3 linked regions of the Macaca mulatta genome follow. The protein of the gene in region 2 interacts with the protein of the main gene of each other region in a biochemical or structural test. Links are inferred from orthologs where the notes say so. Each region holds a gene or a part of one and is shown on either strand. Other genes may lie near its edges.

Region 1 (3,644 bases), on a different chromosome or scaffold from region 2:
GGACAATGGGGCAGGGCGGGTCTGGCCGCCTCACCCATCCTCTGTGAGAGGGCGGGGCCTGTTTCCTGCAGCTGGGGCCGAGCTCATGGTGCTCTGCCAGGCTCAACCACTTGGGACCTGTTCCTACCAGGTTTATGGCTTTCTTGAGGCATGACATCTCTTATACAAAAGTCTAATTGAATATTACTCCCAACTAGTGCCTAAACTTTCCTAACTATGAGGCACTTTTCCCCTGGCCCTCCTGTGCCCCACCTGAGGCCAGAGCCAGTCTGCCCCTCGCTGGGGGCTACAAGGTGGTGATGCATATCATTTCATCCGCCAGGTCCTCTTCATCCCTCCCAGGGTCTGGCTCTTCGTCGCTGTAGCCAGGACCAAAGTCCTGTAGCTCATAGTCCTGCCGGTGTGAGAGGGGGCCCACATCCCCGTTGGCTCGGGGACACACGTTCCCATTAAGCAGGGTGCTGGCTGCACTCTCCATCTCGTCGATGGTGAGGTCACAGGCATCAGCGATTTCATGTTTTGTTGCTGACACAAATTTTGGGTCCCTTGCATAGCGTCCCAAGCCTTCAGATATCAGGACCTGTACAGGAAAGAGGGATGGATGGCATGGGGGTGTTATAAGGCTTTGCAGGGCAGGGGGATGACAGAAAACTCCAGTGCTAACTGCACCGTGTGCTTTGGGGATGCAGCTCAATCATGTTTTCTAGACCTCATACATAATAACTAATGTAAATGGCTTTGAAAATGTCCCGGAGCTAAAAAACTACACATGGTCCAACAAGAGTGAAACCCACTGGGGAAAGACATTTAGTATAAACTAGAAACATATGCTGGAACAGCACCTATAATGCCAGCACAGCTCATTTATGAGAATCAATGGTGGTGACCAGTTTTTGTTTGTGTGTGTGTGTGTGTGTGTGTGTGTGTGTTTTGAGATGGAGTCTCCCTCTATCACCCAGGTTGGAGTGCAGTGGTGTGATCTCGGCTCACTGCAGCCTCCACTTCCCAGGTTCAAGTGATTCTCCTGCTGCAGCCTCCCAAGTAGCTGGGGTTACAGGCATACACCACCATGTCAGGGTAATTTTTGTATTTTTAGTGGAGATGGGGTTTCACCAAGTTTGCCAGGCTGGTCTTGAACTCCTGACCTCAGGTGATCCACCCACCTCGGCCTCCGAAAGTGCTGAGATTACAGGCATGAGCCACCACACCCAGTGGTGGTGACCAGTTTTTACTCATGCTTCAGGTACATTCCTGCTGCTCAGAAGTGTCCGATTGAGGCAGCCTGGCTCACAGCCTGGCCGCCCTCCCACCACTGCCCTTCCTGCTGTTGCCCTTCCTGCTGCTGCAGTTGCACCTCTGCTGCTCCTGGTGCTTCCTGCCCACCATGGCCAAGAGCCATACTCACTGCCTCCACCAAGCTGTCTGCGCTCCTCTGCTTGTCGCTGTTTTTGTTCCGGAAGCTGCTGGGGACGGTCAGGCTGGCTGGTGTGAAAGTCCGGTAGGAGATGTCGGGCTCGTCTGTGTACCAGGAACTTCGGTGCAGGGATGGCAGGCTGCCGTTCATCTGGTCCAGGGCCTCTGACTGCTCCACTTGGATCAGGGGGGTGTAGCACGGTGTCCAGTCCCGGTAGGGAGGGGTTGCTGGAGGGGTGGCCCATGACCGGGTCGAGTGACTCGGTGAGTACTTCTGGGCTTTACTTGAATCTAGGCCAGCAACTGCCATGATCTGAGGAGAGAGAGGAGCGTTGGGAGACCAGAGGTTCTCAGAGGTCCGGGCCTCAAACCTCCTGCACACAGACCAAGCACGGGCGCTGCGTTCTCCAGGGGCAGTCCAGGCAAAGACTTGGAAGAGACATGGGTACACTGAATGAATGGGCAGTGACGACTTGGTTTTCTAGCAGACTTTTTCTTTTACCCCGAATCTATAATGTATTTCCTATGGCTTTTCCCAAGGAGTTATCAGTTGCTAATTCATGAAATTGCTTCAGAATGAAGAAGAATCAGGGAAGCCCAACAAGCCGTGGGTGTGAACACACCACCCAGTTCATGCTGGGTTTAAATACCGAAGTACCTTCAGGGGAAACTACCACTTCCTAGCACTTACAGGAAAACATAGCTGGTTCTCTTTGCTCTGGAATAATGCATCCTAGAGCTGGCATTTTGCATGTGCTAAAGCACTGTGTACAAGCCCGGTCCTACAATCCCACCACGGCAGATGCACCTTAGGGTTCACTCTGCAGAGAAGGACGGGGAACCCAGTCTGTAAACAGCACAGGTCCATGCCCACCACCCCATCGTGCACGAATGAATAGCACCTCTGATGTCATATTTTCAGAAAGAAAAAGCGCCATATTCTTATCCTCGAGGGAAAGCCCTGGTGAGTGGGCTCTGGCCCCACCCTCCTGCCTGTGCAGCCGCCCTCAATATGGGCAAATTGTCCTCCCCAGACTGCTCCCTTGGTAGGCAGGGGAGGTGAAGCCCGCATAGTGCCCACACGGCCCTGCCCACGGAGGGACCCATACACTTAACGAAGGAAGCACTTTAGAGAAAATGAAGGGCTGCACCGACTGTTCAGAGTCAGCCAAGTGGCCCCCGCCCCCTGAGCTCAGATCACATCAGGCTCCGTATTCAATGCCCGGAAGAGGTGGTGGGGGTCGCAGGGAGGCACCTGGGTAGAGAGGCCAGCGTTGGCAGCTGGCTCGGATTCCAATGCCAGCGGTCGCTTGCTTGTGTGAGCTTGGGCAGAATGGGGCTCATGGCGACAGCTATTTGGCAGGATTGTTACAAAGATTAACCAGACTGTAGGTGAAGATTCTCTCCTTCCCTCCTGGTGCTTAAGGCCAAAGAGAAGGGAGAGACCTGATGGTGGGTCCTATGTGGGGTGCCCCTGGGCATGGGGGCGAGACCAGGTGGGCCACTCACCTGTTGCTGCATGAGATGCAGAGGCAGGGCCGTGCGGTGGGGGAAGGTGGGAGATGAAGGGACCTCCTCCTGGCTGCTCTGCCGGCGCAGGCACTCGAAGTTGAAGGAGGATCTGCGGTGGGCTGGGAAAGCAAAGGGCATCATGCAACTGTGAAGCAGGTTCTCTGCTGGGACACTGTCTCTCAGTCAGGGTGGTCCCGGACGCTCAGCAAGGAGCCCAGGAAGAAGCAAGTGGTTTGTCCGAGAGAAAGATTAGGTAGTGAGGTCTCCAAACTTTAGGAGGAGAGGATGAAGGCAGAAGCCCCAGTGAGGGATGTTTTTAAAAGTACGAACTTACTACCTTTAAATGTTCGCCTGTTCTCAGGAGGAGGAGCGAAGGCAGCCCCTAGGGCAACTGATCCGAGTCAGAAGCCCTGGCCCTGCATACTGTGGGGTGCACACAGGACTTCAGTGCAAGAACCCAAGTCCTGCCAGAACCCCACGACACTTCCCACTGTCACCTTCCAGATACCCTAAGTGTCCCCAGGGGCTGACATATCTTGCTGGGGCTCCTGTGTTTACACGTGTTTTAAAGGGAGGGACTAACTGCACTGATCAGCTTAATAAGCAAATTTTTTTGTTGTTGGGAAAGATTCAGCTTCTCTAGCACTGAAGACAAACAAGGACAACCCTACCTTTAAGAAAACGCTTGTCCTGCCAACAGCTCTTCCGACAGAGGCTCA
Region 2 (3,644 bases):
TGCACAAGGGCCTGGGAGTCATAGGATTGGTTGCGAGGCCTGCGCGTCGCAGAGCAGGAGGCAGAAGCACACAGGGAGAGAAGTGCCGGAACCATGTTGGTTCGGTTTGAAAAGCACTGAGTCTTCCCTGGACTCCAGGCATGCTGCTGGCTGCCACCAGGCAGCACGTGGCCACCCGCCAAATCCCCAGCACTGTAAGTTCTGCTGAGGCAGAGGGGGCTGAGGGCTGTTTTGGAAGACTTCCTGGAGGAAGGGGGCTGATAGACCAGCTCTGTCATGCGAGCGCCTGTCCCTCTAAGTACCCCCACAGCTGCCCTTCAAGGGCAGGGAACATCGAGAAACAGGTGGGGAGACTGAGGCTTTCCATAGGGCTGACCTGCCCAGGATCATCTGCAGCACAGGCGGCTAAAGTACCAGAGGTCATGATACTGAAAGCTCTGGCTCTTGCCAACCAGCTGCCATGAGATCCCCTGCCTGCTCCGTCCCTCTCCTCTCCTAGGAACTCTGGAAGTGGGGATGTCCTTCCCGTCTTCCTTCAGCACTCCCTTCCTGCTCAGGGACCCAGGTTGTCAGGACCCCCAAGGTCCTGAATTGCTAAAACTCCCATATCACTCGTTCCCTTCAGGGGCCACAGTGGCTGCACGTTGAACTTTCCCCTGTGCCCTGCCGTGCCACCACGTGGCACCTGCACACACCACTGGCTGAATGGAGACACAGGGGAACTGAGGACCCATAGCCCCCTTTCCTCTGGTTTTCTGCACAGGCTGTGCCCCCACCCTGGAGCACCCCTTTCTCCCCTTTTCTACTCCTGCTCATCTCAATACTAGGGACACCTCCTCCGGGAAGCCACCTCCACCCCCAGCCACTCTATCTCAAGCCCAGTCCCAGATGGGGGCTCCCACAGGGATCTGCATTCCCTGTGACTTTGCTCTGAGCACTCTGGATTGTAGCAGCAAACTATGTTGTCTGCCCTCTGCTAGGCCATGAGCTCAACACTTTATCCCCAGCACCCAGCTCCGGGTCTGATACAGAGAAGGAGCTCAGTAAATATCTGTTGGATGGATGGATGGATGGATGGATGGATGGATGGATGGATGGGTGAATGGATGACTGGATGAAAGGGTGAAATAGTGAAGAAGTGAAGGGTGCAGTGATGCAGTCAAGAGGAGTATCTGAGCTTGGCCCTGGGGGAGGCAGCTATGAGGGATGCGAGGGGCCTGGGGCGGCCACTGCTAGGCAGACCTTGTTGTAGAGGGCGCAGATGTGCAGAGCTGTATTCCCTGAGGCGTTCTGGGCTCCAGGCTCAGCCCCGTAGAAGAGCAGATGCTCCAGGTGCTGAGAGTGACCCCGCTGGCAGGCCTGGGCAGGACAGGGAGCGAGGGGCATGGATCAGACCCAGGCTGTTCTCCCTCTGGGCCAAGAGTCTGTACACAACCTGTACACTGGCCTTCTCATCCTATCCTTCACCACATCCACCTCCCCATCACCTTTTTGCCCCTCTTCCTGCTCTGGGACCCAGGCTGTCAGCCTCACAATCCAAATGTTCAGTCATTCCAAGGCCCAGGAGTCTGGTCTGCCTCCTTCAGAGGGCCAAGAGGCCAGCCCATCCCTCTTAGGGATCAAGGCGTCTGGTTCCCCTGCCTATGCCCCCTTAGGGTCTTCGTGTCTTCACCCCCATCATTTCCTCTTTGGGGACCATGTTATTCTTACCCCCATGCTCTGTGAGGACCCTGGCATCTGGTTCCCAGCCCCAGTCCCTTGGATGCCTCAGAGACTGGGTCCCCCACCCCAGCCCTTCATGGCGTGAATCAGGAGCACCTGGTGGATTTCCTGCCAGCCGTTCTCATCAGCTATGCCCAGCTGGGCCCTGTTGTACAGGAGCAGCTCACAGCATCGGGGGTCACCACCCACCATAGCCGTGTGGAACAGAGGGGTCAGCCCCCGACGGTCCTTGTAGTTGGGGGAACCCCCAAGGTCCAGGAGCGCCTAGGAATGGAAAGAGAACCCAGTAGAAAAACACAGATGACAGTCACACATTAACCAGCTCATTCTGAAGGGCCAGGGGAACTGGACTGTCCTGGGTGACCCACAGTGGCCAATGACAGTGACAGTCTTAGTTCTGCCATGATGCCCTTGTGCGACCTTGAGGCCGGCCCTTTCCCTCTCTGGGCCACTCTGATCCCCTGTGAACAACGTGGGACTTGGGTAGATGCCTCCAGAGGACCCTGGCACTCTGACATCCCACCCAACCCTTCCCCTGGGGGTGACCTTGGATGAGCCATTGAAGGGCATTAGGGGCCACAGTACCCATCCATTCCACCTCCTACAGGTGGGTTGTTGGGGACAAATGAGAGGCCAGAGTCTGGATGCTGGAGGGTCTCTGGCCAAGTGGGAGGTGTTATTAGGTCCAGGATCTCAAAGAAGGGGCATAGCAGGAAGCCAGGGGACAGACAAGTGAGCTTGGATAAGGGGGCAAGGATCGGGCCGGCCTCACTGGGGCTGCAGGCCACTTCCTGCTCCCCCTTGAAAGACAACTCTGGGTGTGGAAGGCTGGCAGTAATGAGCATTAATAGGAGAAAGTGTTGGCAGCAACCTTGTATGAGGACAGCCTGTAGCAGTGCCATCCAACAGAACATTCCACCATCGTGGGGATGGTCTGCAACTGCATCACCCTATATGGCAGGCACGTGTGGTCCCCTGAGCACTTGAACGTGGCTAGTGAGCCTGAGGAACTGAAATTTTAATTTTACTTCACTCTAATTAATTTAAATTTAAACAGCCCCAGGTGGCCACTGGCTACTGGCTTGGATAGCACAGGTCTGGAGGCTGGGAGGGGCGTGCATGAGCAGGATGTGGGTTTGGGAGTGAGTGTGCATGGGAGATACATGAACAGGGTCTGTTAACTCCAGGGGTATACTGAAGATCTTTGTGGCTGGTGTCTGACTGCATTAGGGGCTCTTCAGGAAAGAATCTGAGGGAGAGAGGGGAGGGGCCATTTAGCTGGAGCATCCATGCATTGGGGTGCTTCTCAATGGCTGTCTTTGGGGGCAGCCCATCTTGACCCGCATATGAAGAGGAATCAAGTGTCCTGGCGGGGGCAGGGGGAGAAGAGTATTTTAAAATTAGACTGTGCAGCTGACGCCGTGTATGTATTTTGTGGGTGTATGGGTTTGTCTATTTGGGAAAGTGCATTTGAGGCTGTGTACGTGGGGAAGGGGCTGTATTTGCATGTGAGAGAGGAGGGAGTGGAGCTGGTGCAGTGCTGGGTTTGGAAGGGTAGCTGGGGGACTGTTTTCAGGGTGTGTGAGGAGGGGCTCTATCTGGGGGCATAGCAGGGAACTCACTTTGCATTTTAAGGAATGAGAAGGGTTTACACCTTGGGGAGACAGAGGCAGGTTTGGTATTGAGCTGGGTCACAGGGGATGGAGATGTTCTGGGTGTTCAGGGGAGGAGGCTGCGTCCGGGTCTGCATGATGTCAGCTGTAGCCCAGGTGGGTGCACCTGGGGGACCTGACAAGGGTGACAATAGGGGCTGTGTGTCAGTCTATGGAAAGGGGCTTTGAACTGGGGACATGCGAGGGCCTATTTTTACAGAAACCAAAGAACTGAAGTTTGAGAAAGAACAAAGGGAAAAGGAGAGAGGG
Region 3 (4,333 bases), on a different chromosome or scaffold from region 2:
GTGTATATATTCATAAACACAGTTTAGAAATTATGTAGGGCTGGGCAAGGTGGCTCAAGCTTGTAATGCCAGCACTTTAGGAGGATGAGGCAGGCGGATCACTTGAGGTCAGGAGTTCGAGACCAGCCTGGCTAACATGGTGAAACCTCCACTCTACTAAAAATACAAAAATTAGCCAGGCATGGTGGTGGGTGCCTGTAATCCCAGCTACTCGGGAGGCTGAGGCAGGGGAATTGCTTGAACCCGGGAGGCGAAGGTTGCAAGTGAGCCAAGATTGTCCCACTGCACTACAGCGTGGGTGACAGAGTGAGACTTTGTCTCAAAAAAAAAAAAAAAAGTCATGTTATTACATCACATACTTGACTCCACCCGCTACTTAGAAGTCAAAGGACTGAGCACATGTACAAACTATCACTCAATAACCCAGAGAAGACCAGCCGTGGCATAAATGACCATCAAGTCTGTTTCAGAATCTCAGCATTATACCAACCTCAGAAACACAAAAAGAACTCCTTGAACAAGATACTAACAGCCTTGAGATGGGGAAGGAATAGGAATTGGTCACTGGTATGAGTCAAAGGGTTCACTATAGTAAACTTCATCCATCACTGTGTATGCATTCTTAAAGCTCTCTCATAGCAATCAAAGCATCAAATATTAGTGCCAAAGAAAGGCTTGATTAAAGTTTTAAAATTGTACATAGTCTTTTGAACTAAGGCTACTCTACTAAAGAAATATAGGCTTTAAAATGAAATCTAAGTCAGTTTTTTAGGAGAGGAGTTTCCCTCACTGGCAGTGCAGGCAATCCTGAACCAAGTGGTCAGGCTGGCACAACCTCCATCTTTGATAGTCTGACCCTATGACCTCGATGGAACATTTCAAGTTCCAGCTTGGTTTCTCCTGAAGAATGTAGTTATCTTAGGGTACCGCAATTGAAACAATCTCCTCTAGTGTTTGAGAATATATTTTCCTGTGGGGTGTAATGTGATAATTTGAACTAATGTAAAATTCATGACATCAAAAAGCTGGAACAATGTGAAAGGAAGAAGAGCAGGCTTGTGATTTGATGGTATTTTAGGTTAACAAGTTTAATGTAATAAAACTCCTGACACAATTTCCACACGATTGATTTGTCCAGCCCACAGCTACTTCACCACACAGTTGCTAATTACATCACTGTGCTGTGTGGTCATTATGTCACCCAGCTGGGAGCACTACGGCCTACCAGCCACTGTTCACTTTTCCAGCTTGCTTTTCCCAAGAAGACAGAACCTGCAGACCACCTACTTCACCAAAAGTCCCTCTGTTCCTCAAGCTTCACAGCTTTTCTCTCATTTATCTTGGTGTCACATCCCAAAGGGCCTGGCTCTGGACTATCTGACTCAGAGTGGCCAAGGAAGGGACTAAGGGTCTGTGCCCAGGAGTTGGCTTCAATCCTGCAGATTCAGAGCAAAGTCACCTGTGTGTTTTATGGTGGATGAACTTCACCACACTCTCCTCCGCTTCTGATCCCTACAATTCCAACACCCAGAGACTCACTCCCTGCTTCCAGCTCTCCATATCTGTGAAATAACCGTGGAAGGACACACACCATCTCTCTCTCTCTGTGTGTGTGTCACACACACATACACACACGAACACACGCGCGCGTTGGGCACTGTGCCTTGGTGCCGTCTTCGGCTCCAAGTTGACTTACTTCAGGAAGTATCTCTGGCCAGTGGCCGTGAAGGTCATCTCCCAGCCCGGGGGCAGCGGCAGCTCGTCGGTCACGTCGTAGGACTGCTGGCGGAGGTGCGCGTGCTGCTGCGCGGGGCTACCCGCAGCACCCGCGCCGGTGCCCAGCTGCAGGGACGCGGGCGACGAGTGCGAGCGGACATGCTGGGCACCCCCAGCCAGTCGAGGCCCCGGGTGGCCGCCCGAAGAGTCGGTGCTGGACTGGCGCGAGTGCGAGCCCGAATCAGGCTCCTTGAAGAAAGACTCCGGCAGGATCTTCTTCCGCCACGAGCTAGGCTTCGGGTTCATGACAGAGTTGAAGAGGGCTTCGAGGTCTGTGTCTAGGTCCTGCGTGACGTGGATCACTTGCTGCCCAGGCGGCGGGAGCGGAGGGGGCGCCGAGGCCGGATTCATCTTCTGCAAAAAGAAGGTCAGATCAGTCTTTTATTTAAAGTCGGAGGAAGTGGGTAAAAGGGTTATAGGGTGAGAGGGCGAGATGGTGGGAGGAAGAATAGAGGGAAAAGGAAACGAGGAGACAGATAATTGCCCGCCTGGAGATCCCAGACACTCAGCGGTGAGACCAGCAGGATGGGGGAGGGGTCCCTCCTGGCCTCGAGAATTATGCAACTTTCTTGAAGCAAAGAAGTTGCCGGGAGGAGGAGAAGGAAGGGCGAGGGGTGGAGGGAGTAACTGCACTCGAGGCTTGCTGAACCGCAGGATGGCAAAGGAAAGGTCGCAGCTTTCCCGGACAGGCAGCCCCCCGAAAGAAGTTCAGCCCGAGCCAACTCCACCACGTCTCGACTCCGGAAGCCTGGGGAGCCTGGAGCCCTGGAGTGGTGCCGGGTGAGCGCGCGAGCTCCAGCGGGCACTACCTGGGCGGGCAGCGAAGCTGAGCCTGAGAGCGAGGCGGCCGCCGTCCCGCCCGAACTTGCCGTCGGGCCTGGGTCGCTCGGGTGAGTCCCGAGATTGCGGAGCTGGAGCCGAGGCTTGGCTGACAAATCCTGACCCGACTCGGTGCCTGGCAGTCTAGGGGCTTCGGCTCTCACATCCCCCGAGCTGGCCTAAGGAGCTCGCGCTGGGCGAAAAGGAGGCGCAGGAGAAGCAGACAGCGCGGCCGCAGCAGCTCCCGGACTGTCCCATAAACAAAGTTTGGAGCAAACTCCCACCCCCAGGAAAGAGGCGGGCCCGAAAGTTGAGCTGTTGAATTATGTATGACCTCCTAGTCCCGAGCCGGCCGGCCCCCGCTCGCCCCTCCTCTTCCTCCTCCTCCTCCTCCCACTCCGGCTCCAGAAAACCCTGGGCGTGATGGGTACTTTACTGGGTAAGAGGAGACGGGTGCCCCCCACCCACTGCTCCCGGCCACGCGGACCTCTCCCGCGGAGCCCTGCATCTGCGTTCCTTTGAGTTTACCACGGACTTGGGGCGGGATCAAAGGGAAAGTGGCCTGAGCCTGTTTCATCAAGGGCTTGTGGACCGAAACCAAGGCCGGGGGTGGCGGAGGGCAAGCGGATGAGGGGCTCAGGCCTAGGAAGGGCCGGTCCTGGACACCGCGCCCTCCCCTGCAGCCAGACGCCGAGGCCGGCAGCACCCGGAGCGCCGCGCTGACCAGCGATTCTGCCCGAAGGCCGGCCCGGGTGCGCCCCGGCGTGGGGAGACTCCAACAAGGCCAGCCTTTCCACGAGAGGCTGCTTAGCTCTTGTGACCATATTTGGTCTGGCGAGGAGGCATCTTGGCTGCCTGGCTCTCAATTGTCTGCTAGAGCACAGACGGTGCCCAGAAAGTGCCTCTGTCACTGGAGATGCGGCTTCGCCAACGGGTGGGTTGTAAACAAACAACTTTCAAACCATTCATCAATCCTTAATTTCCTCTACGGGGGTGACTCAGGCCACTAGGGATTGAGAAGAAACCGGGTCAAAGCTGGGTGCTGGAAGAGAAGAGCAGTTGCGCCCCCCTCCCCCGCAACATCCGTGAGGGTTGTGGGAGGATTGGAATGTCCCTGCCGCCCTCCAGGGAGCCTGGAGCTGGGATGGAACCCGAGCAGGTGGCTAGGAGTAGGGAGGGTGCGCCAATGACCCGAAAAAAGCCACCCACCTTCCCACCGACTAGATCTGGGCGAGGGGTGGAGACCCCCTGCCTCTAGCTAAGGGAAGAAGGTCAAGCCTGGCGAAACAGCTGCGGGAAGTGGGAGGAGGCCTTGCCCTTCAGAGCAGCTCAATTTCTTTTCTCTCTGGTTCCCTTTCCACTGAAGGGAAAGGGTGGGGGGAGATGGCGAGGTAAGCCAAATTCCAGGAAACCCCTACCCCACTCCATTTGATTCAAATAGGAGTTTATTAAGTAAATCAAATGAGACAATGTAAAGCACTTCTCACAGCACCGGGCTGATTACATAAGTGTTAAAACAGAACTGTATGTTCTTCAAGTTCACGTACTGTGCCTTAATTTTTCTTTCTTTCTTTCTTTCTTTCTTTCTTTTTTTTTTTTTTTTTTTTTTTTTTTTTGAGGGAAGTCTCGCTCTTGTCCCCCAGGCTTTAGTGCAATAGCTCTATCTCGGCTCACCGCAACCTCCGCCTTCCGGGTTCAAACAATTCTCCTGCCTCTACCTCCCAAGTAGCTGGGATTA

Evidence for each region.
Region 1: the proteins of SHANK1 (region 2) and CACNA1D interact in a biophysical measurement, tested with the Homo sapiens proteins (2 studies listed by IntAct, with this or other methods). The link is inferred for Macaca mulatta from reciprocal best matches to the Homo sapiens genes SHANK1 and CACNA1D.
Region 3: the proteins of SHANK1 (region 2) and WWTR1 interact in a test that uses a peptide from one of them, tested with the Homo sapiens proteins (2 studies listed by IntAct, with this or other methods). The link is inferred for Macaca mulatta from reciprocal best matches to the Homo sapiens genes SHANK1 and WWTR1.

Annotation. Positions count from the first base shown.
Region 1 is NC_133407.1:117,387,031-117,390,674, reverse strand, and holds part of CACNA1D (voltage-dependent L-type calcium channel subunit alpha-1D), read right to left. Parts: intron 3,045-3,644; coding exon 2,923-3,044; intron 1,727-2,922; coding exon 1,406-1,726; intron 581-1,405; coding exon 287-580; 3' UTR 1-286. UniProt on the Homo sapiens protein: Voltage-sensitive calcium channels (VSCC) mediate the entry of calcium ions into excitable cells and are also involved in a variety of calcium-dependent processes, including muscle contraction, hormone or neurotransmitter release, gene expression, cell motility, cell division and cell death.
Region 2 is NC_133424.1:63,103,769-63,107,412, forward strand, and holds part of SHANK1 (SH3 and multiple ankyrin repeat domains protein 1), read right to left. Parts: intron 1,987-3,644; coding exon 1,819-1,986; intron 1,360-1,818; coding exon 1,243-1,359; intron 1-1,242. UniProt on the Homo sapiens protein: Seems to be an adapter protein in the postsynaptic density (PSD) of excitatory synapses that interconnects receptors of the postsynaptic membrane including NMDA-type and metabotropic glutamate receptors via complexes with GKAP/PSD-95 and Homer, respectively, and the actin-based cytoskeleton.
Region 3 is NC_133407.1:52,659,092-52,663,424, forward strand, and holds the start of WWTR1 (WW domain-containing transcription regulator protein 1), read right to left. Parts: upstream 2,847-4,333; 5' UTR 2,586-2,846; exon of another isoform or gene 2,431-2,585; intron 2,131-2,430; 5' UTR 2,128-2,130; coding exon 1,697-2,127; intron 1-1,696. UniProt on the Homo sapiens protein: Transcriptional coactivator which acts as a downstream regulatory target in the Hippo signaling pathway that plays a pivotal role in organ size control and tumor suppression by restricting proliferation and promoting apoptosis.